Mus musculus: one gene and its partners. The protein of the gene in region 1 interacts with the protein of each later gene in a biochemical or structural test. Links are inferred from orthologs where the notes say so. Each region holds a gene or a part of one and is shown on either strand. Other genes may lie near its edges. The genes, in order: Pdgfra, Pdgfa, Pdgfb and Pdgfc.

What was found.
Region 2: the proteins of Pdgfra (region 1) and Pdgfa form a complex in vitro, tested with the Homo sapiens proteins (2 studies listed by BioGRID). The link is inferred for Mus musculus from reciprocal best matches to the Homo sapiens genes PDGFRA and PDGFA.
Region 3: the proteins of Pdgfra (region 1) and Pdgfb form a complex in vitro, tested with the Homo sapiens proteins (3 studies listed by BioGRID). The link is inferred for Mus musculus from reciprocal best matches to the Homo sapiens genes PDGFRA and PDGFB.
Region 4: the proteins of Pdgfra (region 1) and Pdgfc form a complex in vitro, tested with the Homo sapiens proteins (2 studies listed by BioGRID and IntAct, with this or other methods). The link is inferred for Mus musculus from reciprocal best matches to the Homo sapiens genes PDGFRA and PDGFC.

The regions. Positions count from the first base shown.
Region 1 is NC_000071.6:75,175,094-75,181,151, forward strand, and holds part of Pdgfra (platelet-derived growth factor receptor alpha isoform 1 precursor), read left to right. Parts: exon of another isoform or gene 1-57; intron 58-1,573; coding exon 1,574-1,767; exon of another isoform or gene 1,768-1,811; intron 1,812-2,551; coding exon 2,552-2,646; intron 2,647-2,836; coding exon 2,837-2,969; intron 2,970-5,074; coding exon 5,075-5,179; intron 5,180-5,905; coding exon 5,906-6,016; intron 6,017-6,058. UniProt on the Homo sapiens protein: Tyrosine-protein kinase that acts as a cell-surface receptor for PDGFA, PDGFB and PDGFC and plays an essential role in the regulation of embryonic development, cell proliferation, survival and chemotaxis.
Region 2 is NC_000071.6:138,976,213-138,982,270, reverse strand, and holds part of Pdgfa (platelet-derived growth factor subunit A isoform 1 precursor), read left to right. Parts: intron 1-2,998; coding exon 2,999-3,125; intron 3,126-3,580; coding exon of another isoform or gene 3,581-3,636; exon of another isoform or gene 3,637-3,649; intron 3,650-5,043; coding exon 5,044-5,054; 3' UTR 5,055-6,058.
Region 3 is NC_000081.6:79,996,716-80,002,773, reverse strand, and holds part of Pdgfb (platelet-derived growth factor subunit B precursor), read left to right. Parts: intron 1-886; coding exon 887-1,092; intron 1,093-2,300; coding exon 2,301-2,445; intron 2,446-3,747; exon of another isoform or gene 3,748-3,804; intron 3,805-5,069; coding exon 5,070-5,194; 3' UTR 5,195-5,218; intron 5,219-5,516; 3' UTR 5,517-6,058. UniProt on the Homo sapiens protein: Growth factor that plays an essential role in the regulation of embryonic development, cell proliferation, cell migration, survival and chemotaxis. Potent mitogen for cells of mesenchymal origin.
Region 4 is NC_000069.6:81,209,517-81,215,574, forward strand, and holds the end of Pdgfc (platelet-derived growth factor C isoform 1 precursor), read left to right. Parts: intron 1-2,945; coding exon 2,946-3,062; 3' UTR 3,063-4,524; downstream 4,525-6,058. UniProt on the Homo sapiens protein: Growth factor that plays an essential role in the regulation of embryonic development, cell proliferation, cell migration, survival and chemotaxis. Potent mitogen and chemoattractant for cells of mesenchymal origin.

The DNA of each region.
Region 1 (6,058 bases):
GTTCTTGTGTGGTCGGGATGTTTCTTCCATGACATAAAGGGCCTCAAGTGCAGTTTATTTCTTTGGTTGACCTCTTTTTGTATTCGCGATTCTTCCTCGGCCCAAGGCTCATATTACTCACAAACTATACAATAGGTTTCTGAAAGTGGATTCCATCTCTTGATGTGTGTGTGCGCGCACGCATGTGTGCATGTCCTCAAAGGGCCTTTATTTTTATATTTTATTCTCCATTGTTTTTCTTAAACATTTCCCATTCTCTCTTAGAATGCTCTATAATGTGAAGACAAAAAGAATTGTAAGAACCACTCTTGTTCATGGATTTTATCTGTATATGTATGTATGTATGTATGTATGTATGTATGTATTTAGCTTGCAGTCCTGTTGTGACATAATGTCTCACTCACCGTGTAGCCAGTGCTTTGGCTGAAGTCAAACGTACCATTCTCTTGCTTTGCTCTCCCAGGCGCTGGGGTTGCAGGAGTGCACCACCAGCCCTGCCCAGCTCACATTTCTTTCTTTCTTTCTTTTTTTTTAAAGATTTATTTATTTATTTATTTATTTATTTATTTACTTATTTATTATATGTAAGTACACTGTAGCTGTCTTCAGACACTCCACAAGAGAACATCAGATTTCATTACGGATGGTTGTGAGCCACCATGTGGTTGCTGGGATTTGAACTCAGGACCTTCAGAAGAGCAGTCTTAACCACTGAGCTGTCTCACCAGCTCCCAGCTCACATTTCTTATTTCTTACCATAAATGTTGTCTCGGTGGCTAGACTGGCAGTGCAAACAGAGCCGAGAGCCGTGCCCACGTGACTCCTCATACCCACTTGTTCTTTGGAAGCCAGGAGAGGGCACTGGATCCCCTGAAGGTGGAGTAACAGGTGGTTGTGAGCATTTTAGTAGGAATGCTGGGAACCAAATGTGGGCCCTCCATAAGAACAGTATGAGCGCTTCATGGCCGGCCCACCTCTCTAGCCCCTCCTCCACCTTCATAGGCAGGCCCATGAACTGTGCGCCCACACCTTGCTCCACGGCAACTACCTGCTTTCAGAAGGCCTTGAGTGCGTCTCTGCTGAAAGTGCAGCTTGCTATTGCTCTCCTCACTGAGAGCTGTGGAGTGACCTGGGTCCTGGGATTTCTAGGTGTAATGATTTAACCCAGAAGACTACTGCAGCCTTAGGGACCCCTTAGAAGCTCTTCCTGGGGTTGAAGATGAGGAGGGAGGATATTTTCAAAGGAGTGGGAGATTTGCATTGTTGAACGTGTTTGATGCTATCTCCTGAGTTTGCTCACAGGTCCAAGATTTGAGATAAGTAGTTAGATTTTGTGGATTTTATCTGCCTCCTCCACAAACCATTAACTTTGGTTATCCACGTGAGATTACTCCTCTTGAGCAGGTGCAAATGGATTTTAATGTGAACAAGCACCATAAAACGAGAACTCCCAAATCTATGCACCATAAAACAAGGACTGCCCCACCCCCCAAATATATGTAATGTTAGCAATGTGGAAGGGTCGTTGTGACTCCTGGTAATCAGATCTTCATTTGTGTCACATTCTCTCTAGATGTAATAATGACACTTCGTGGACAGTTTTGGCCAGCAATGTCTCAAATATTATCACAGAGCTCCCTCGCCGTGGCAGGAGTACCGTGGAGGGACGAGTGTCCTTCGCCAAAGTGGAAGAGACCATCGCAGTTCGATGCCTGGCAAAGAACAACCTCAGCGTTGTGGCCCGTGAGCTGAAGCTGGTGGCTCCCAGTGAGTTTCTCAGTAGGCAGCACAACTCCAGCTCACCAGCCACGCCCTGTGTTCCTCAGGTGGGACGTGGAATCCCAGACAGGGCTCACAGAGTGGCAAAGGTCCCAAGACAGTTCAGCCCTGTCTGGACTTGAAGCACTGGTCTTCCTGCCAAGCCCCCTTTGTTTGCCCTGACCCAGCTGCGTTTGCAGAGCTGCAGGCAGCTTTGCTTGTCATGTAGAGGATGACTAAGCCTCTGTCATCTGAGCACTGGGGTCTAGGGATAGAAAGTGAGGAAGGGGCTTTTGCCTCACGATCCTCAGAACAGGTGGGTCAGGTTTGAGTCAGAAACAAAGAAAGGAAGGAAGCCGAGAAAGAGAGAGAGAGAGAGAGAGAGACAGAGACAGAGACAGAGACAGAGACAGACCGAGAGACAGACAGACAGACAGACAGACAGAAGGCAAAATTCACCTTTACCATGAAACTTATGAGATGGATATTTCTACAAATAAAGTTGCTCCTAACTTATTGTTGGTCTCCATCGTCTTTATTCAAATTGTCCAAAAGGAGATCCTTGGAGTGTCTTTGGAAAGAAAGTCTTTGTCCCAGGGAAGAATCACATTTAGTTGCAAGGGTACAAGTGATTGAGGGATGATATAGGCCACCCCTAAAGTGACCTGGGATCCCCAACACTTCCCCACCAGCAGGGAGATAGGCCCTAGTTCATTTCTTTCTGCCTCCCGTCTTATTCTGCCGTCCACAAATAACTGACAAAATTCTCTACTGTCTCTGTCTTGCCTTCCAGCTCTGCGATCTGAACTCACAGTGGCGGCCGCAGTGTTGGTGCTGTTGGTGATTGTCATTGTCTCTCTCATCGTCCTGGTGGTCATTTGGAAGCAGGTGAGTCTTTGGAACCATTAGAATGAGAACAACTGTATCCTTCGGTGTTTGGTTCAGAGAAGGGGTTTGGTAATTCCATGGGTGGTGGGTCATGACAGACTTTCCTGGGTCCAGTCACTTTGGTTCTGTAGTGAAGCTCAGTTGCCTTGAACTCTGGGAATTCACCAGTTACCCACCCTGGTCATTACAGAAACCACGGTATGAAATTCGCTGGAGGGTTATCGAGTCAATCAGCCCCGATGGACATGAGTATATCTATGTGGACCCCATGCAGTTGCCTTACGACTCCAGATGGGAATTCCCGAGAGATGGCCTCGTGCTTGGTAAGTTCTTGTGAGGGTAACCTCCCAGGACCCCAATGTTACCTACATAGCTTGCTACGTACAGATCTGGGACAGAATTAGGGACTTGAACGCCACTCACAGAGCTGGATATGGTAGCTCACACTCTTCATCTCAGCACTGGGGAGACTGAAGATGGAGGACTGTGAGTTCAAGACTAGCCTGGGCTACATGGACATCTTCAACATGAGCTCATTGGGGCTGAGAAGGGGAAGTCAAGGGTCAAGAAGTTGTTTAGCCTTTGTAAGGCCCCAGATTCTATCCCCCAAACGAACAAAGTTAGTGCACCGGGTATAGTAGCATACAGTTGGAGGGCATCAGCAGACGGATCCTGAGTTCACTCTCATACTGGGTTTCAGGCCAGCCTAGGCTACATGAGACCCTAGAGCAAAATGCCAAAAGGAAAGAGTCTTTTCTTTTTTTTAATGCACGTGAGTACACTGTAGCTCAGACACACCAGAAGAGGGCATCAGATCCCATTACAGATGGTTGTGAGCCACCATGCCGTTGCTGGGAATTGAACTCAGGACCTCTGGAAGAGCAATCAGTGCTCTTAACGGCTGAGCCATCTGTCTAGCCCATAGAAAGAAAGTCTTAATTGTATCATTGGAATGATTTTGGCCTGACAAAAATATTGCAATGGAAAAAATAAAGTTCATTTTTATAACCGAAGAGGACTAGCTGAGAAGTGAGAGAACTCAGTGGGCTACAGTCAGTCCGTTTTGAGGAGTCATAAAATACTTCTTTAAGTATATGTAATGTAGGATGGAAAAATATACGCTGGTGTTGTACTGCATGCCTCTAATCTCAGAGACGTAGTATTGGGAGTCCAAGGTCATTGTTAACTATATAGAGATTTTGAGACTAGCCTGAGCTATATGAGATCCTGTCTCAAAACCCCCCAAACAACTACCTTCCGTGTGTGTGTGTGTGTGAACACACACACACACACACACACACACACACACACACACACACACTTTAAAGCAAAACATAAAAAGGAAGGGAGCCCTCTGGGGCTATGTCACAATCAAGGCCCTCGCCAGGTGCAGTTTTTGGCTATCGTCTGTCTGTCTGTCTGTCTGTCTGGTTCCAAAGTACAGCAGAGCTAGGCGCTTAACAGTCACTCAAGCTGAACCTGTGCTTCTTTATTGTATTGTCCACCACTGTTTCCCACACAGAGCTTAGGGAAGTTAAAAAGCAGTAAAATAGGCAGGGAGGGTGGGTGGGTGGGTGTGCGCGAGTGCTCGCTCAGAGGTGGGGATGGAGTAGCAGAGCCCCTGCTATCCAGCACGTTGCCTCGTCCTCTTGGCAAGGCCACATTACTGGAAAAGCAGCATCTTTCTAGGCATGGATGGCGGAGGTACATACAGACCGGAAGAGCGGGCATGTCCACTCTCAGTGTCTTTCTGTGCCTGGGCTGCCGTGATCAGACTGGCTTCCTGGAAATGCCTCCCTTAGACCACAGTCTCTTTAAGAGTGGACAACAGCTTTGATTTCTTTGTCTCTACACACAAAGAAGGGCTGTGCTGGCACGTACACCCCCCCATCCCCCCCCCCCCCAAGTCCAGGGACCTTGGTGGCACGTACAGCTTCTGGTCCAGGAACCTTCCTTTATGACAAAGAAGACGAGTCCAAGTGTTCAGTAGTGCACTCCTCAGAATCAGTGGCATTTGGAATACAGACGATTTCCAGTGGTTAAGGATTTGTTAATGCAAAGGTTGCCTCTGTGTGCATCTGAGAGACAGAAGGGTAGAGAACCAGGGGGTTGGGTAGAAGCCACGGAGGCAAGTGCACAGGAGCCCAGGGCCTGGCGGGAGCCCATGTTCACACCAGGGAGGACTGTGCTTTCCCCTCTCTCATCCATGTTTTCCTTTCCATTGCAAATGCCATTTGACAAAAGCAATTACACTAATTCCCTTCCCTGTGGGCTCAATTCTTTTTTTTGGACATGATGACTTGGAGGAATAATTAGGCTTACTCAACACAGGAAAAACACCCACCCAGCTGTACACCCTCGTGCACTGGCCTCTGCCAGTGAGGCCGAGGGGCCGGGAGCTGGCGGTGATGGCTCTGTTTGCCTACAGGTCGGATTTTGGGATCCGGTGCATTTGGGAAAGTGGTCGAAGGTACAGCTTATGGATTAAGCCGGTCCCAACCTGTAATGAAGGTGGCTGTGAAGATGCTCAAACGTAAGTGTTTCTTCCCAGGGATACTTTGAACATGGACATACTAAGTAATTTAAGAGTAAAATCGAATTTAATATTATATTGAGATTCTTTGGACTGTGGGTTGAGACTTAGCCACCCTCCAAAATTAGGTTTCTTTTGTTCTTATCCCTCATTGTTAAAAATCAGATGCTTTCATTTTTGGTAAGAGTTTGTTTTTTTGTTTTTTTGTTTTTAATCTTAAAGACCAGAGACTCTGGGGCTGGGAAATGGCTCAATGGGCAAAGTGCTTTCTGCGAAAACATGGAGATCTGAGCTCTGATCCCCCCAGCATCCATCTAGGAAGGCAGAAGTAGTGGCATTCCCCTGTAGCCCCAACCCCACAGGGAGGCAGGATGAGACAGGTAAATCCTGGAAGCTCACTGGTCAGCTAGGTTACTCAACTCGGCAAGCTCTCAGGTTCACTGAGAGACCCTGACTCAAAATATAAGATGTAGAAACAGTTGAAGAAGATATTCTGATGTCAGCCTCTGGCTTCCATGTGTATTTGTAGACAAGGGCATTCACACACACAGACACACACACACACAGACACACACACACTCAGCAGTCTAGACTGAGGAGACCATCTAGTGCTCTTCCTTTAGACTCTTGGTAAATAAATACTATTGAATCACAAGGTTCCATGTGTTCTTCTGAGAACCAGAAGTAGGGAGTTCAGTTGTACTAAAATCTGGCTTACTTCAACAGCCACAGCCAGGTCTAGTGAAAAGCAGGCTCTCATGTCTGAGCTGAAGATAATGACTCACCTGGGGCCACATTTGAACATTGTGAACTTGCTGGGAGCCTGCACCAAGTCAGGTAGGCGCCTTGTTCTGGGGTTCCTGGGAGTTTCTGGGAATC
Region 2 (6,058 bases), about 64 Mb from region 1:
AGTGATTGGATAATGGCCTGGCCAGGTGATCCTCTGCGTTAAACTTGAGGGAGCTCTGGAATGCATGGGGCACAAGTGGGAAAATGTAATATTCATAACATGTTCTGTGTGTGTGTGTGTGTGTGTGTGTGTGTGTGTGTGTGTGCGCGTGCGTGCGGGGGGGGGGGGGGTGTAGGGGTGGTTGTAGCCATTTCCTGGCCAGACAGAGGTGGCAGAGCGGCTGGAATCCTTGCATTCCCAAGGCAGGTGCTACTATAAACCGCTGTTTGTTTCTGTCTGATAACCATGGGCCTGTCTGGAAGAATGGGCCTCCCCAGCTGGAGCGGCTCATGAGTTGCTCCTCATGCAGGGGACCCCTAGGCTCAGTGGAGAAGGTTGTACTTGCCCTGCAGGCAGGGTTTGGGTCAGGCTGCAGGGCTGTAGTTAAAACCAAGCCAAGTCCCCTTCTGACAGCCTGTGCTCAGGGCCGCGTGAGGCTACCTGGTTCCCACCACAGAGGCTGTGGTGGAAGAGGAGAGCACCCACCACTGGTGTCTGTGGCCGTGGTCTCTTTCAGGCTTCTTCTTCTTTTTTTTTTTTTTTTTAAATCTAGGCAGTCTAGGAGTTTGCTGGATCACCAAAGGCAATAGACATCTTTGGAGGTTGGGGACTGTGGCATCTCTGCCTACAGCTCCTCTTGGGACTGGCTGATGTTTTTCTTTTGGAAGAAGTTCTCCCTCCCTGACCTACCTCAGGGCTCTTGAAGGGGAGAGACAGGGGTTGCCCTTCTGTTCCCTGGGGTGGAGTGTGAGACCCTGAGCTTAGGGACCGGGGATTGCATTGCTTCTGGGGACATGGTGACTTCCTGAACAGTGTTTGGGGGCTAATTTTAGTAAGGAGCCTTGTGTGAATATTGATTTTGTTGAAGCTAGCTCCTCCTATAGGGTGGCTGTGTCCCATTTCTAGGTGATTTTTTACTGTTGTGTCTTTTGTTTGTTTTGGGGTACATGGTCTTATAGCTGGGGGCTGGCGTGGAACTCATATTGTAGACAAGGCTGGACTTGAGGCAAATCCTCCAGCCTCAGCCTACCCCACCATACCCACTTGACCTCTGGCTGCCGCTGCAGAGAAAACTTTATTCTTTCATGAGCTACCTGGGTGGGTGTGACCACTGTCCCTATTTCACAGGTCAGGTTGGAGGTATCTGGATAGCATAGCCCGACCCAAATGCCCAGGTTGGCCCAGCACTCCACCAAAACATTTTGAGCAAGACCCCTGGGCAGAAGCCTGCCACATGCCTACAGCTCTCAGGGGAAGACCCTCCTTGGCTTTCACGGCCCCAAGTTGCTGTCCCTCCCGCTTTCTGACGTAGTGAAACCTCCTGGGCTGGCCCTTGACCCCTGACCCCTGGCCCCACGCCCTCCATGCTGAGCTCATACTTGGCAGACTCTGTTCACACCTGGGGCACCCATTCTACTTCCCACGCCCGCCAGGCACCCGGCACCCTTTGCACCCATGTTAACCATTAATGTAGCCAAGTCGGTAGCCACAGCAGAGTCTGGCTGAGTCTGGTCCCCAGGACTCTGAAAGCTGCCTGGCCTGGTACTCTGGCGGATGGCTGACCATAGCTTCCAAGGGTCCTCTTGGTGCCTGAGCTTTAATACCCTTGGGAGAACACTGGGGAGTGTTCTCCTGCCCAAGCTCCCCCGGTCACTCTGGGTGGGCCACGCACTGTTTCCAGCATTGAACGTCACAAGGCTGCCACTGCTAGGTGCTCTAAGCCACCCGGAGTGGGTTCAGTACTGCTGTAGCCTCAGTTTCCCTAGTGTATGGCGGGATGTGAGGTAGAGACCCCTTAGGGCTGCTCTGGGAGTCGGACACAGATTTGGCACTGGTTGTATGCAGTTCTGCAGTGCTGGGAGGGTGGCTGTTCTCTGACACTTATTCCAGGTGGCATCGAGGTTGGAACAAGCCGCCAGCCACGCTCTCCGGGTCACCTCAGGAGAGGGCTGGTTGTGCCTGATTTTTCTTTTCTATCTGTGGAGGTGACAATCCTGCCTCCTCACTCACTGGCTGGCCAGGAGGGTTAAATGAGTCCTGGTGTCTGGATTCTGAGGGAGGTGACCTAGAGGGTTCCCTAATGCCACGTCATGCTGGAATGGAGCAGGGTGCATGGCCCCAAGCTGCCTCCTGGTGCAGCAGTTGGTGGGGGCTGGAGTGGGTTAAGGAACTACTGGATGAGGGGGGAGGGAGTGTGTGGAGTTGCATTCCTCTGTTGGGAGCTGTGTGCACGACTCACAGTCTGTGGGGGTGGAGTTGGCACACTCACGACCCGAGTGTTGCGAGGATGAGGCTGTAGTGCTCCGCATCTGGCCAGGACGATGGGAGCCTTTGCCTGGGGTTCTAGAATCCGGTAGAAACTTTCTGTACCACCTGGAGGTGTGTTGCTGGGTTGGCGTGTCTCTCAGAGACCACAAGTTGGGAGGGTTCCCTCCATCAGCAAGCTTTGTAGCCACACTGCTGTTCCTAGCCAAGACTCTGGGTTCTTACTAACAAAGGGAGTAGTAGTATGTTCCACCATCCTACGTCCAGCTCACCCTTTCTTGGCTGACGCCCTTCAGATCTTTTGGGCAATTAGGAGTCTTAAGTTCCTAGTTCTCTTGCCTCCACGTCCTGAGCCCTGGGATTACAGGCTTCTGCCGCCACATTCATTCAGTTTATATGATGCTGGGGATGGAACTCAGGGCTTTGTGACTGCTGAGGAAGTGCTCTGGTAGCTGAGCCACATCCCTTGCTGTGTAGTCCAGGCTGACCTCGAGCTTCTGGCTGCTGGGACAGAAGCTGCCGGGACGGCAGCTGTAGGCCTAGTATCGTTGGGGTTTATTTCGAATGAAAGCAGACCTGAGCTCAAGGGAAGATGCCTTGAAGAGAGTTAGGTATCTGAGTCCTGGTTTGGGGTGCCCCAAGCAGGTCTCCTTTGGGTACATGGTTTTGACACTGGCTTTTGTTTCCTCGGCAGGTGGCCAAAGTGGAGTATGTCAGGAAGAAGCCAAAATTGAAAGAGGTCCAGGTGAGGTTAGAGGAACACCTGGAGTGTGCATGTGCGACCTCCAACCTGAACCCAGACCATCGGGAGGAGGAGACAGGTGAGTGGCCAACACTGTCTGATTTGCTGTGTGTGGGTCCTGAGGGATATGGGATGAGTGATCTGTCACATCTGACCCAGCCAAGCCCATCACAGCGATGGGAAAAGTTGCTTGAGTAAACAAGTCAGCAGGCCTGGATTTGCCAGCTGTCCACACTAGCTTGCAGAGTGACAGTCAGGGAAACTGCCTGCAGGTGCCACCTCCAGGTGGAACAGTAGACACTGGATTCGGGCTGTACCCTGCTGCCCAGGGTCTTGCCCTTCAGTCCTGCCCAGCACACCTGTATATGCCAACATTCAGGCAGCCCAGGTGCAGAGATAGACCCGGAAGTGTCTATGCACCAGGGTGGATCAGGCTTTCTCTCTGAAAGATAAACACCTTCAGTATTTATTACTGTGGCTTCCCACCCCAGGCCCTCCGGAGGCCACTCACCTCCCCTGCCCTTTCCTTGACAGGAAGGCGTAGGGAATCAGGTAAAAAGCGGAAAAGGAAAAGGTTAAAACCCACCTAAGGCGGCCGACCAGGTAGGCCCTGCCCGCCGGGTGAGCTGGGGACTCCCTCGCACAGGGCTGGGACACAATCAAGACAGGCGAATCCCGCTTCCGTGGGCCCTGATTGGCTCAAGGTTCTGTGTGCTTCTGGGACTGCTCGGCCGGGTCTCCTTGCAGCTACAGCTTTGCCCTTCTCTTGGTCGTTGATCAGGCACCCGAGTGCCCCATGGCGGGAAGGGTGGGTGGGGGCTTCTGGTGGCTCTGGTGGAGTTATCTGGGGAGAGACTGCCCACTGCGCTGACTGGCGGAAGGACTGAGACGTTTACCGAGGAGGAGGAGGAGGCTGAGTGGATCTGAAGAGTTAAGTGGCCAGGGCAGTCAGTCAGTCATCTTTTGTAACCAGCAGTGACCTCAGGAAAGGAGGAAGAGGTTAATGATCCGTGTAAGACCAGATGGGGTGGTCTTTTGTACTGTGGGTTCTGTCCTTAAAATTACCGCCAGGACCCATGGAGGCTGCTCCAGGGGTGGAAGAGTCAGGCAGGTAAAGAAGGGCTGTAGAGCCTCTTAGGAATGCTTGTTGCAAACCCACCCTGTGATGGCTGCTTTTCCCCGGAAGTGTAGGGAATGTAGGTGGGGCATATCATTTCCCAGACCTGTCCTGAGTGTCAGCTTGTCTGGCTCAGAGGGCTGGAGCCTGTCTGGCTGAGCCCTTCCTCCTGGCACATGCGACTTAGGGGCATCCAAGACAAACAGTTATTCTGGGCAGGAGAGTCCTCAGAGATAGGGTGTCTGAGAACCCTGGCTCCCACACGAGGGTGCCTGGGGATGCCTGTCTTGGGCATTTGTCTCCTTGGGCAGGTCCTTGGGGTTGTTCCATGTGGCTCTGACAGGGACTGCTGCTGACAGGGACCCCTTCAAGGGAGAGGCAGGTGTTTCCGTGACTGCCTGTGTCCAGCTGGCCACCTGGCATCATTGGTTCATTATGAAACTAGGAGGTGTAGCTTTGTGCTAGTATTTGATCACCAGCACCAGAACAGCCACACAAAATCATTGCTCTGATTAGTCACAGAGAGCCACATGCAGGGTGGCTGGTGGTATCTGTTCTGATACTTCATGGCCCAAACTGCCAACCTCCAACAAGGTACAGGCCTTAGGCTGGAAGAAAGAAACATAGGGGGGAGGACAAAAAGAACTTTCTATGCCTCAGTTTCTCCATCTGTGCAATGGGAGCATGGGTTCTTCTATGAAATGCAGCCAGTCTAGTACCAGTTCTTAAATTGGGAAGATTTGATTAAACTGTGGAAATTTTGATTTTTTTTTTTTTAAATTACGTATATCAACTTCGTATCTTAAGACAAGTTGGGGCTAAGTGGCCCTGCTGTTTTCTATCTGTGGTCATAGCCTCAACTCTTCCTGCCTTCCCACAGATGTGAGGTGAGATGAGCCGGCCGCCCTCTCCCGGGACACGGATGTGCGTGGCGTGTGACATTCCTGAACATACTATGTATGGTGCTTCATTGCCAATGTGCGTGCGGTCTTTGTTCTCCTCCGTGAAAAACTGTGTCCGAGGACAAAGAGACAGTGTCCGTTTGTTCAGTGTGACATCAAAGCAAGTACTGTAGCACTCAGAGAGACAGTGAGAAAGCTTCCTTGTCACAGAGAGCGAAAACAAAACCACAAAAAAGAAAAAAAAAACAAAAAAAAAATTAAAAACAAAAAAACAAAAAAAACAAAAACAAACCAAACCACACCCAACAACAAAAAAAAACCCCACCAGAAGAAACAAAAAGACTGAAGTGGGCGACGGAAGGGCCGCCCTGCAGGACTGACCCTCGAGAGGTGGCTGATGTTGGCCACCACCCTGGATTCTGCCCGTGGGCACAGGTGCTTTTCGCCAAGGACGCCTGGAGCCCGCCTGGGATGCTGCCTGCCAGCTCCGTGGGAACTGAACAGGTGGGAGATGCCCACGGCCTGGAAGCCACCACCTCGCTTGAGTCTGCCTAGGACCTTCCTGATGGCCTTACGTGGAATTTCTTTATTTTCGTTTTCCTTTCCTTCTTTCTCTCTCTTTTTTTACACCATGAAGTGAGTAAGCTTCTCCTTTTTATTCTCTGCCTAGCTTTTTTTTTTTTTTTTTTTAAATCTCTTGGATGACATTTTCGTCGATAACACGCACGAGGCTGCTGTAAGTTGGGACAGCGAGACGGTTATTTTTTTCCTAGCCAAACTAATGAGGTGTATTAAAATAAACATGATATACCTACCTATCCATTATTTCTGATGCGCCTCTGCCTTCCTGTGTTCCTCTGCCCCTTTAACGTTTCTTCTAGCTTAAGACATGAGGGGACTCTGGGAATCATATTCAGGGTGGGGCCCCCTGGGGACTCCCTCCCCCTCCCCATTGCTAAATGGCTTCTATGGCAGCATGGAGACATGACAGAG
Region 3 (6,058 bases), on another chromosome or scaffold:
CTGTCAGTCCTAGTGAAGACTTCCAGGGTGAAGCAGGTGGCCACGTACCCACGTACAGTTTCCAAGTCACTGGAGATGTGGCTGGAAGAGCCTCTAGGTCTCCAGGCCTACTTCTCCACCTGTGAGCCATTCCCTGTACGTGTCTGAGCACTTGCTGACCCAATAGCTCTGTTGTTAATCCCATTTCGTAGGTTAGGCTCTGAAGGAAAGGGCCACATACGAACAGACCAGTGGGGCTAGAGAGATGGCTCAGAAGATGGCTGCTTTTCCAGAGGCCTGGGTTCTGTTTCCATGGCAGCACACGACTGTCTGTAACTCCTCTTCCACGTATTTTGACACATGCAGGCAAAACACCAATGTACTTAAAACATTTCAAGATAAGTAAAAAAAAAAAAAAAAAAAAGACTATATTAGTGCACCCAGGTGTGGTGGCGCACGCCTTTAATCCCAGCACTTAGGAGGCAGAGGCAGGCGGATTTCTGAGCTTGAGGCCAGCCTGGTCTACAGAGTAAGTTCCAGGACAGCCAGGGCTACACAGAGAAACCCTGTTTGGAATGAAACAAAAACAAAACAAAAAACAAACAAAAACAAACAATACAAGACCAATCTAAGCCAGGAAAGTAACAGTGCAGAAGGACTCAGGACAATCGCACAGCTGTGTGACTGAACAATTGGGAGCTAAATCCTAAACATTTACAAGGTCACACTGGATGATCTAACCTGATGTTGGCTGTGTTTCTCGGGGGTAGATCTCGCTGTCCTTGTTTTCGATTGGGGTCAACTGAGGCTCAGGGTAGTTCGGCCACCTACCCAAATTCGGGCCTGTCTTTGGATGGGGGAGGTTCCAAAGAAGTCGGTCTGTTCCTGACAGGCCTCTTCCCTCCAGGGTCCCTGGCAGCAGCAGAGCCTGCTGTAATCGCCGAGTGCAAGACGCGCACAGAGGTGTTCCAGATCTCTCGGAACCTCATCGATCGCACCAACGCCAACTTCCTGGTGTGGCCGCCCTGTGTGGAGGTGCAGCGCTGCTCCGGCTGCTGCAATAACCGCAATGTGCAATGCCGGGCCTCGCAGGTGCAGATGCGGCCGGTCCAGGTGCGCAAAATCCGCCCCACCCTGGGTCTGGCCCCGCCCCAGCGGCTGAACAGCTTCTGTGGGTTGCAGAACTTGGCTGGTTCTTCATGGCTCCTTCCAGAGAAGGATGCTTGGAGGATGCTTCTGGGACGCTTTCTCCAAGATGTCTCAAACCGTAGTCACTGAAAGTTAGATGGAGTCCAGGATGTGACTTGGTTGAGCTGCTAAGTAATGGACCAATGTCACCTGCTCTATAGGGTCACAGTCTCACAGTGCCCCTGTCTTTAAGCTGCCCAGGTCCCCTCAATTCTTTATCATACTCAGGGGCCCCTACATTTTGGGACTTCAATGGTTTCTTTGGCAAGCTTTGTGCAAGCTTAGCAAAGGTGGCACAGAGTGTCCACTGTAGGAATCAGGGGTCCCATTGGCAAATGGTCCAGCTCTGTGGCTAGCTCGGTCCTTTTTGGAGAGATGCTATTCTGAGGCAGTGACCCAGAGGCCCAGGAGGCACGGCTGTCTTCTAACTCAGGTGGACAGGTCTCTGTACTCTGAATCAGCCTTCCTACTTCAGCTTCCCCTGGGCACATAGCACAAAGCTCAAAACCAGCCCACTCAGTGCACTGGCTGTGTGGCCATGCTGTCTTTCCCTGCCCTCTGCCTGTGGCCTCTGCCCAGTCTCCCGCCTGTCTTCCATTCATGGCCTGTCTCCATGACCCAGAGTACAAATGACACGCCATGCTTCCCCACCCACTGCCACGGTATCTTCTGTCCCCAGCTTTAGGGATGGACACCTGACAGCTGCCTCCCCCCTTGCAGCCTCTCTTCTAGATAAGGCCTCTCGCACTTCCTATCAGATAACTATCTCCCTGTTCTGCTCTGGTCCCTGGCCTTGGCCGGTGCTCCAGGAATGGCGACCCACAGGACTCAGGCTCCACCCGGAAATGCCTTTCTCCCACTCTGGGGGGTCAGGGAGGCGGGGGGGGGGGGTTGCTACAGCAAAGCCAGAGGCCAGGTCAGCTAGGTTGAAGGGCTTGTTTTGATGGAAAAGCTCTGAGAGGGACAGAGGGAAAGGCCTGACTATTGTTTTGGTTCAGAGCTGTCACTCTGCAGACGAGCCTGGGTTTTGGCTTTCGAGGAAAGACTCCAGCACAGGACACTTGCCAGGCGCGTGAGGCCGCTCCTGCACTGATGGCTTCTACAGAGAAGTTTTGCTCATTCTTGTCCTCCAGGTGAGAAAGATTGAGATTGTGCGAAAGAAGCCCATCTTCAAGAAGGCCACAGTGACCTTGGAGGACCACCTCGCCTGCAAGTGTGAGACAGTAGTGACCCCTCGGCCTGTGACTAGAAGTCCTGGGACATCCAGGGAGCAGCGAGGTAAGCTGCCTTCCCAGGGGCTGCTCCACGTGGCTCAACCCAAGCCTCTTTCCCTTATAACAGCTGGGAAAAGGACGGGTCTCTAAATAGGGGTCAGGAGGCTAGGGAGAGCGCTCGGTGGGTAGAGTGTTTGCTGAGCACGCATGCAGACCTGAGTCTGAAACACCAGCATCCATATAAAAACCAAGGCATGATAGCTGTGCCTGTCACCCTGGTACTGAGAAGGTGGAGATGGGTGAATCCCAGGGGACCAGTCTAGCTGTTGGTTAGCTCCGGGTTAAGTAAGAGTCCCTGTCTCAGAAAACAATATAGGAAGACTTGATGTCAACCTCTGACTTCATACACACATGCACACACACGCACATACACACTGAGAGAGAGAGAGAGAGAGAGAGAGAGAGATCTAAACATATACCACACAGAAAAGACTTAAATGGAGAGCAAATACATTATTTCTGGTTAAATTTATTTGAGACTTTTGATCTCACTGAGAACAATCTAGATTCTTCTTGGCCCTAAATGAGGTTGCAGCGCCTGGCCTCACTACCAACCAGCCCCCTTCACTCACAACATCTCCTGGAGATACACAAGTAAAGGCTGAGCATCCATACAGCTGGGATGTGGAGAGTGGGTCTGACGTTCACGCATCCACCAGAGGAGTGCATGTCTGATTCTGCAAGGGTCAGGCAGTTCGGTTTGAGTTGGAAACATCTCAGAGGCTCCTTTCTCTGTGTAGCGGAAGTACCCGAAGTCTAAAGATGCTCAGATTTCCGGTCACATAGTCCAACCTCAGCCTGGCAGTCTGGCTAACTTATTTATTTTTATTTTCTGTGCATTGGTGTTTTGCCTGCATGTATGTCTGTGTGAGGGTGTCAGCTCTTGGAGTTGTAGACAACTGGGAGCTGCCCTGTGGGTGCTGGGAATTGAACTTGGGTCCTCTGGAAGAGCAGCCAATGCTCTTCACCTTCTGAGCCACCTCTCCAGCCCCCACGCAGGAAGAACTCTTTAAGTGTTAGAACCGGAAAGTTAAGAATATTGCGGGACTGGCCTCCAGGTTCATCTCTAGTAGAGCCTAGGCCAGTGCTGGTGTTTTGGAATTCTTAGGCTCAAATCTGTGTCATTTGTGAGTTGTGTGAATTGGATCAGGCTTAGCGCAGCCCAGCCTCCTGCACATGCCTTTTGGGGCAAAAGCTCTCTGGGGGGTGGTTTCCATGCCCCCTCTGGGTGTCATTCCCCCCCCCCCCCCGAGAATCTCAGCTCCCCCAGATCTCTACCCTGCAAGGAAAACTTCGTTCATCTCAGACTGGGTCTCTTGAGGTAGCCTGAAAGGAAGGGGGGCTACCTCAAGAGAGCCAGTCTGAGATGAACAGACAGGTACCAACCTCACCGGCTGGAGGCCAGGGACTCTCCAGTGTCTCCCAGGAAGTGCTGTCCCCTGCCTGTCTGACCTGGCTTCTCAGAACCCAGGAGGAAGAGCAGTTAGAGTCGGTCTGGTCCAGGATTCCCAGGAACTGTCAGTTCAGCCAGGTGCTGGCAGCATGAAGCACAGATAGATTGCAGGATTTCAAACACAGCTCTCTGCCTCAGTTTCCCCCAACACTGTAGGATGAATAAGACCAACCATGGAAATAAAGGAGTGTGTAGTGGCGCCAGGGACATTGCAGGTGCTCACTGGGGTTCCTGCTTGCTTTATGCGCTGTCTCAACTGTAGGAGGTCACTGCTGATTTTCAGAGTGGTTAAGTGCCTTGCCCCATGGCACACAGTATCAAGAAGAGCCCAGGTTTGGACCTGGGCTGACTCCTTGACTAAGTTGCCAGCCCAGCCCTCCATTCTGCTTCTCTGAGTGCCCAGGAATTTGAACAACAGGCACAGCTCCAAAGAAAGTCTGGTGGCCTCCTCATCTTGTGGCCAGAGGAGCCAGAGGTTGGCGGTATAGGTCTCAGTAGGAGAGATGGGAGGCAGAGGGTCACAGGGTGACAGGCCACCACTCACGGTGTATTGTGGCTGACATTCACCCTGCAGTTCTGTGCAAGAATGAGGCTCCTTGGAGAGCTGACTAGATTTTTTCTGCCGTCTGGCTGTGGCTGGAGGCAGCAGCTACACTGTGGTTCAAGAGCCCCAGTCCCCACATGACCTCTCCAGGCATGTAGTGAGACACGGTGCTTGAAGCACAAAGGAGAGCTGGGCCAGTCCTCTGAAGATGGGTGGGTACCCAGAGCCAATAGGACTTCCTGTTGGGTAGAGGGATCCAGGGCCAGGCCACCTTCAGGGAGTGGGAAAATCCATCTCTGAGTAGAGATGAGGACTTGGGGGCAGGGGGCAGGCACAAAACAGAGTTTCCTGGGTCCGGCACTGCTTGGCCGGCATGCTGCCTTGTAATCCGTTCTCCTTCCCATGAGGTGGGCTGTCCACCTGCTTCACTCCCAGAGAGAGGGGAAGGCATAGAAAGACTCAGTCACGTCCCCAGAGCTGGAGAGCTGTGGGGATTAACTTTGACCTGGTGAAGTCTGTCCTCTCCCTCAGCCATACCCAAGGCTCCCTCCCAGCAGGCACCAAGGTACAAGGAAAACACTCCATTGCTATCAGATGCTGACAAACACTACTTCTTCTTCTTCTCGAGCAGCCAAGACGCCTCAAGCTCGGGTGACCATTCGGACGGTGAGAATCCGCCGGCCCCCCAAAGGCAAGCACCGAAAGTTTAAGCACACCCATGACAAGGCGGCCCTGAAGGAGACCCTCGGAGCCTAGGGGCGTCGGCAAGAGTGTGGGCAGGTGAGGAGCCAACCAGAAAAAACAAGCCTCAGCTACTCCCTGGCTTTCAGCTACTCCCTGGCTGTGACTTAGACAGGCTCCGTGAGAACCAGCAGAGGCATTTGCTCCTGCCTAGCTGAGCCTCAACCTCTCTGAAACAGGGTGCCTGTCTCACTCAAATTTCCCATAGCTCCTCCGTCTCAGACTTGGGACCTGCTGGAAATCAGCATGGTGGCAGGAGCCCTAGCCCCTTGCCTTGGTATGGGGGCCACGGGGACCCTTGAGCTACCTCTGACGCTGTATCCTTCTCTGCCCACAGGGTTATTTAATATGGTATTTGCTGTATTGCCCCCATGGGGTCCTTGGAGTGATAATGTTGTTCCCCTCGTCCGTCTGTCTCGATGCCTGATTCGGACGGCCAATGGTGCTTCCCTCACCCCGTGTGCCCGGCCACCTCCACCAGCAGCGATTCCTCAGCCCGCCCTGCAGCTCCAGATGCAAAGGACTCCACTCCAGGCTGCAGGCTTCTCTTGACTCCAAGAACCTGGAACAAGTGTGCAGGAGCCTTGCCGGGGGACGTGGACTGTGGACTGGCCCCAGAGCCTGGCACTTAGCCCGAGGACCTCTGCATGTCCTGCCTGGTTCCTGGACCACTGGCCAGCCAGCAGGGAACATGTTCAGGCAGGCTAGGGTCCCTTGCAGTCCTGTGGCAGGGAGCACAGACTGGAGGAACTCTGATGGCACCCAGATCTGCCACGCACTCATCTCTTCCTGTCCCCTCAGCCCACAGTGGCTTTTCATTTTATAAGACATGAACTCCTCTGGGCAGGTGGCCACACACCTTCTCTGATGGATTAGAGG
Region 4 (6,058 bases), on another chromosome or scaffold:
TTTGTTATTGTTGCTTTTTCTGTGATATGGTGATCCAACTCAGGATTTGTGTATGCTTGTCAAGTGTCCCGTTACTGTCCAACCTAACCCAAATCATACAAGATGTATGTCTTTTATATTAAACGCAACATCTTTTTGAGGAAAAAAAGTGTGAAGCTCTTCAACTGTAAGTTTTCCAAACTATTAAAGGTGAATAGTTTAAAGAAAACTTAGAATATGAGTCACTGTCTAATTCTGAGTAACAAGATCTTTGATAATTGTTTTTACATATGGTCCAATGTCAGAACATAATACTGAAAGGACATTTATACCTCACAGTTCATATTACATTTGTTGCCTCAGATATCGTGCTCCATGTTAGCCGTCTTCTTACTCACTGTTTTCCTTTGTGCATGGTCTTTTATGAGGGTGAATTATCAGTGAAGGGGTGAACTTGCACTGAGCAAGAGCAGTGTGATACTCTCGAGCTGACTGACAGAGGCTTGTTGCTTTTTCCACTTTCATACTTGACCCAATGGTTTCTCTCTATCTCTAACTTCATAAATTTAATTAATTGGTTGTTTGATGGTGACAGAAGAAAATGGAGGACAGAAAGAAGGAGCGATAATGAGAATGATATGATCCATTGCCCCTACCTCTCCAAACTAGGCTACACCACTTAAAGTTTCAGACCGTCCCTGGAATAGCTCCATCAGCTGCTAAATGTTCAGTCCACAAGTCTTCAGATGGCATTTCCTATTAAACCATAGCAGAAATTAAGCCAGAGTTTCATGTATTCTAGGTGAACATCATTTCCTACAACTGAGCCCCAATTCAAGCAGTTCTACAATCTCTCTCTCTCTCTCTCTCTCTCTCTCTCTCCCCATTCATTCTTATGTCATACATCCTAATTTCCATATATTTCTATGTAATATTGTCTAGTATCCACAAGCAAATTTTCATTTCCAGTTGCATCTTCTAAATGTTACAACCTTCAGTAGAGTTTAAAAGAAACAATACCCACCTCTTCACTAGAATTTCTTATCCCATTCTTTAAAATTACTGTAGCATGAGTCTTCTGCTCTTTTTTGAAGATGTTCAGAAGATACATATTAGAAGAGTCAGGCAGAGGGAGGCAGAGGTGCCTCCTGAGCCCACTGTACAGTCTGGAGGAACTACACTTCTTATACTGTATTCCTTTGCTGCTGAGTAGAGAAACTGTAGAGATGGAGGTGGGAACTCATGACACTGGCTCTACTGATGCTCTGACTTACCAAAAAACAAAACAAAACAGAACAACAATAACAACAATAAAAACTCCTTCCAGGAAAGGGAAAGAAATATGAAGCAAGATTATGATAAAATAATAACAACATTATCAATTTTATAATTCATGACACCCCTACTGATTTAAAAACTTTGTCATTGGTAATATAAAGTAATATCTATTTATCTAATTAGTTAACCTTACACTAAAGGGATACAAATGCACTGACTTTTGGTCCAAAATTATGAAATGTAATGGGCTGAAAATGTTCCTTTCAAAGTTCAGCATTTCTGATACTTCCTGTAAGACTTTGACGTCTATCTTTCAATAAAGGAAACAAACTGATAATCAATGGTAGTGAGGCTTCATTAAATTGATAGTTGTTATTCAAGTTTTAATAACTTCTCCTTTGGCCTAGGTGCAAATAATAACTATTGCCTTCATTGCGTCTAAATCTATTTACTCCCGTGTAAAGGAAAGCAATAACTACAGATTACATCATAGGATCATTGTGAGTTAAACTATGTAAACACATTATTATTGTGCCTGGTACCCAGTAAGTATTCCAAAAATGTGAGCTAATTAAGCTCCGCTAGAATCACATGTTCCAAAATTATGCATGCATTACCCAGGTTTCCTTTGTAAGTCTTCAAACAAACAGTCATGAGACATGATTTGGGTCCCTGTGGATTAATGATAATTTACAGGAGTAGGAAATTTTCACAGTCACTTCTTGGAGTTCTCTATGTTATAAGGAGAAAGCAGGGAAACTGAACACTTCCATATTATTATGTGCTCTGGGATTTGTTTGTAATCCAAATGACATAAGTTCTAGAATTTATAGTTTCTGTCCTAAAACATATTGACTCTCCAATACTTCAAATACTTTTGATAGATTGCATAATTAGATACTTTTCTCACAATACTATAGAGATCCATTGTTAATTTTGCCATCTATATTTTTTGTCTGAAATCTGAACAACCTAAATTGTGGAAAAAGTTTGTTTAATAGAGGCCTCATTGTTACTGCTGAGCCTCCTTAGCACTGTACAGTAAGACCCAGATGCAGAAACTAAGCTGTGGCAGAGGCCGATGCTTATGGAGTACATCTAATCCATCTCATCAAGTTTATAGAGGACTTGAAGTGTAGCCAAGAAAATTAATGAGTGGCATAATTGAGCAAGCTCAGCTGTGGAATGATCGAGTTTCTTACCACGCTATGCCCATGGTTTGAGTGCATTGCATCAAGTGTAAATATTTGCCCAGTTGAGAAGTGTATGAAAAGAAGAAGCTAAAACAACAGAAAAACAAATTGTCTACCAGTGCTTTCAAAACCCTTGAGGTGAAATTATCTCTCGTATAACATTTAGGAAGCAATTAGCACACAGTGAATCTTTCCGTTTAAGAGCTTTTCTGTGTGCTTTGAGACTTCTGGCATTAAGGCATCCTTTCTTTTATGAAATGACAGTAGTGGATGACTGGGATGTTGAAGCTAGAGGGAAGGACCATGCATACATGTAACTTCACTAAGCAACATGAAAGAGTGTGCATGTTTTTCTTCGGCCCCCAATGTTATTGTTTATTTGTTTTGTACTGTTGCTTTTGTGTTTGTTTTCTGATTTTTGAAATGTTACTTGTCCATGAAGTCAAGCACAGTAAACAATGTTTTTTTAAAGGAGACATATTTATTCCCTTTTAGGTCCTTCAGTTGAGACCAAAAACTGGAGTCAAGGGATTGCATAAGTCACTCACTGATGTGGCTCTGGAACACCACGAGGAATGTGACTGTGTGTGTAGAGGAAACGCAGGAGGGTAACTGCAGCCTTCGTAGCAGCACACGTGAGCACTGGCATTCTGTGTACCCCCACAAGCAACCTTCATCCCCACCAGCGTTGGCCGCAGGGCTCTCAGCTGCTGATGCTGGCTATGGTAAAGATCTTACTCGTCTCCAACCAAATTCTCAGTTGTTTGCTTCAATAGCCTTCCCCTGCAGGACTTCAAGTGTCTTCTAAAAGACCAGAGGCACCAAGAGGAGTCAATCACAAAGCACTGCCTTCTAGAGGAAGCCCAGACAATGGTCTTCTGACCACAGAAACAAATGAAATGAATGTAGATCGCTAGCAAACTCTGGAGTGACAGCATTTCTTTTCCACTGACAGAATGGTGTAGCTTAGTTGTCTTGATATGGGCAAGTGATGTCAGCACAAGAAAATGGTGAAAAACACACACTTGATTGTGAACAATGCAGAAATACTTGGATTTCTCCAACCTGTTTGCATAGATAGACAGATGCTCTGTTTTCTACAAACTCAAAGCTTTTAGAGAGCAGCTATGTTAATAGGAATTAAATGTGCCATGCTGAAAGGAAAGACTGAAGTTTTCAATGCTTGGCAACTTCTCCGCAATTTGGAGGAAAGGTGCGGTCATGGTTTGGAGAAAGCACACCTGCACAGAGGAGTGGCCTTCCCTTCCCTTCCCTCTGAGGTGGCTTCTGTGTTTCATTGTGTATATTTTTATATTCTCCTTTTGACATTATAACTGTTGGCTTTTCTAATCTTGTTAAATATTTCTATTTTTACCAAAGGTATTTAATATTCTTTTTTATGACAACCTAGAGCAATTATTTTTAGCTTGATAATTTTTTTTTCTAAACAAAATTGTTATAGCCAGAAGAACAAAGATGATTGATATAAAAATCTTGTTGCTCTGACAAAAACATATGTATTTCTTCCTTGTATGGTGCTAGAGCTTAGCGTCATCTGCATTTGAAAAGATGGAATGGGGAAGTTTTTAGAATTGGTAGGTCGCAGGGACAGTTTGATAACAACTGTACTATCATCAATTCCCAATTCTGTTCTTAGAGCTACGAACAGAACAGAGCTTGAGTAAATATGGAGCCATTGCTAACCTACCCCTTTCTATGGGAAATAGGAGTATAGCTCAGAGAAGCACGTCCCCAGAAACCTCGACCATTTCTAGGCACAGTGTTCTGGGCTATGCTGCGCTGTATGGACATATCCTATTTATTTCAATACTAGGGTTTTATTACCTTTAAACTCTGCTCCATACACTTGTATTAATACATGGATATTTTTATGTACAGAAGTATATCATTTAAGGAGTTCACTTATTATACTCTTTGGCAATTGCAAAGAAAATCAACATAATACATTGCTTGTAAATGCTTAATCTGTGCCCAAGTTTTGTGGTGACTATTTGAATTAAAATGTATTGAATCATCAAATAAAATAATCTGGCTATTTTGGGGACAAGTGTAAGTGTTCGTCTAAGTGTATGTGGTGTGTGTGGGGGGGGGTGAGGCGGTTGTGGGTATCCATGAGTGTGAACATGTCTGCCTCTTTGGTTCCAAGGAAAGGAAGATAATAAAGTACTCAGTTACCATCTTTTGCATTGTAGAAAAACATCTGCCAGTTCACCCTCCCCTGTCTTCTTCTTTCTAATTTCTTGTTGCAATGAAGTTCTTCCCCCCCCCAGTGGTATTAATAGTAAATTCTGATTAAGTAAACTGTATAGGATCTAAAAGTAAAAGATGCATTGTAAAATGTGTGGTGATATAGTATATGATTAGATTAAGTGAGGGGCAGATTCCATAAGTTCCTATTCCTGTCTCCATTTTCTATGGCAACATCTGCAGTATGTAGTAGCTAGTCTATGGATTACCAGGGTATTTCAAAATATAGTCCTTCCATTCTAGGCACAGATCTCTTGGGGTCTGGTTTCTTCAGCACTTGGCTGTAGGCTTGGCGAAACATCACATGTCCAGAGACAGTCTCTCCAGACTGAGCTTGCAAAGAGTACCCATTGACTGTGACCCTGCTGCTGGCAGCCCTGCCCTACCTCCCACCATGTGAGAAACAAGTACACAAATAAACATGTTCTCTGTCTCATTTCTTTAACCTTTTGCCCTTTTGTCCCAGCGCTATAGAGACCCAGAAATAACTTCACCAAGCATCATGGGAAGTGCAGAATATCGGCAGTTTCCAGGTCTTACTGGCAAAGTAAGAACTGTGAGAGATTACACGGAATTACCTACCAGATGTGTTTACCTTGGTATTTCTAACCATTTCCCTTGTCAGTTTTAAAATATTTATTGTTCTCTTTGGTGGTCAAACGTGATCATAAAAGTATCACTCTGTTCCCTACTGCCAGTGAGTGAGGGTAAGTATGAAGCCTGATTGTCTATGATCAATTACACTCATGATGCTTCCTGTGTTTACCAAAGCCAACAGAAGCTAATGCGTTTACAGCACACGTGACCTCATTTTCTCTTAAGTCTTGGAGGTGTTGACTATATTGACCACCAATTATTTTGTATGTTATATCAGTGGTTCCGACTTCTGTCTCTGTGGCAAAGGCCCATTTTGCATAGTGATGCTTATTAAACTGAAGAATAGCACTTAGTTATATGAAGCAGTATTCATGATTATATTTTTTATTTCTGATTCTCATTGTTCCTTTCTCCTTCTCATCAAATACTCCTTATAGACAATTTGGACGTGTGCGAAAGACAAAACAGGTAGTCTTGCCCTCAGAAAATTAAACTGTATCGATAGATTCTTTTCCCCCCAGTGGTTCGCTTTCTTCTCACATCCGATGTTGAAGCTGAGTGAATTTTCTGAAGCTAAGTCCTTTATAATGAACCATCTCACTTCAGAGAGGCCCGGGCTTTGTTTTCATTTCCTGCTTCCTATGTTATTAGCAGACATCACTGAGTGCCTTTTCCTCCCTCACATTTGTGACTACCACACCCCCCAGTTTCTGTAACTGTCTCCTTTCTGGCCCTGCCTCAGA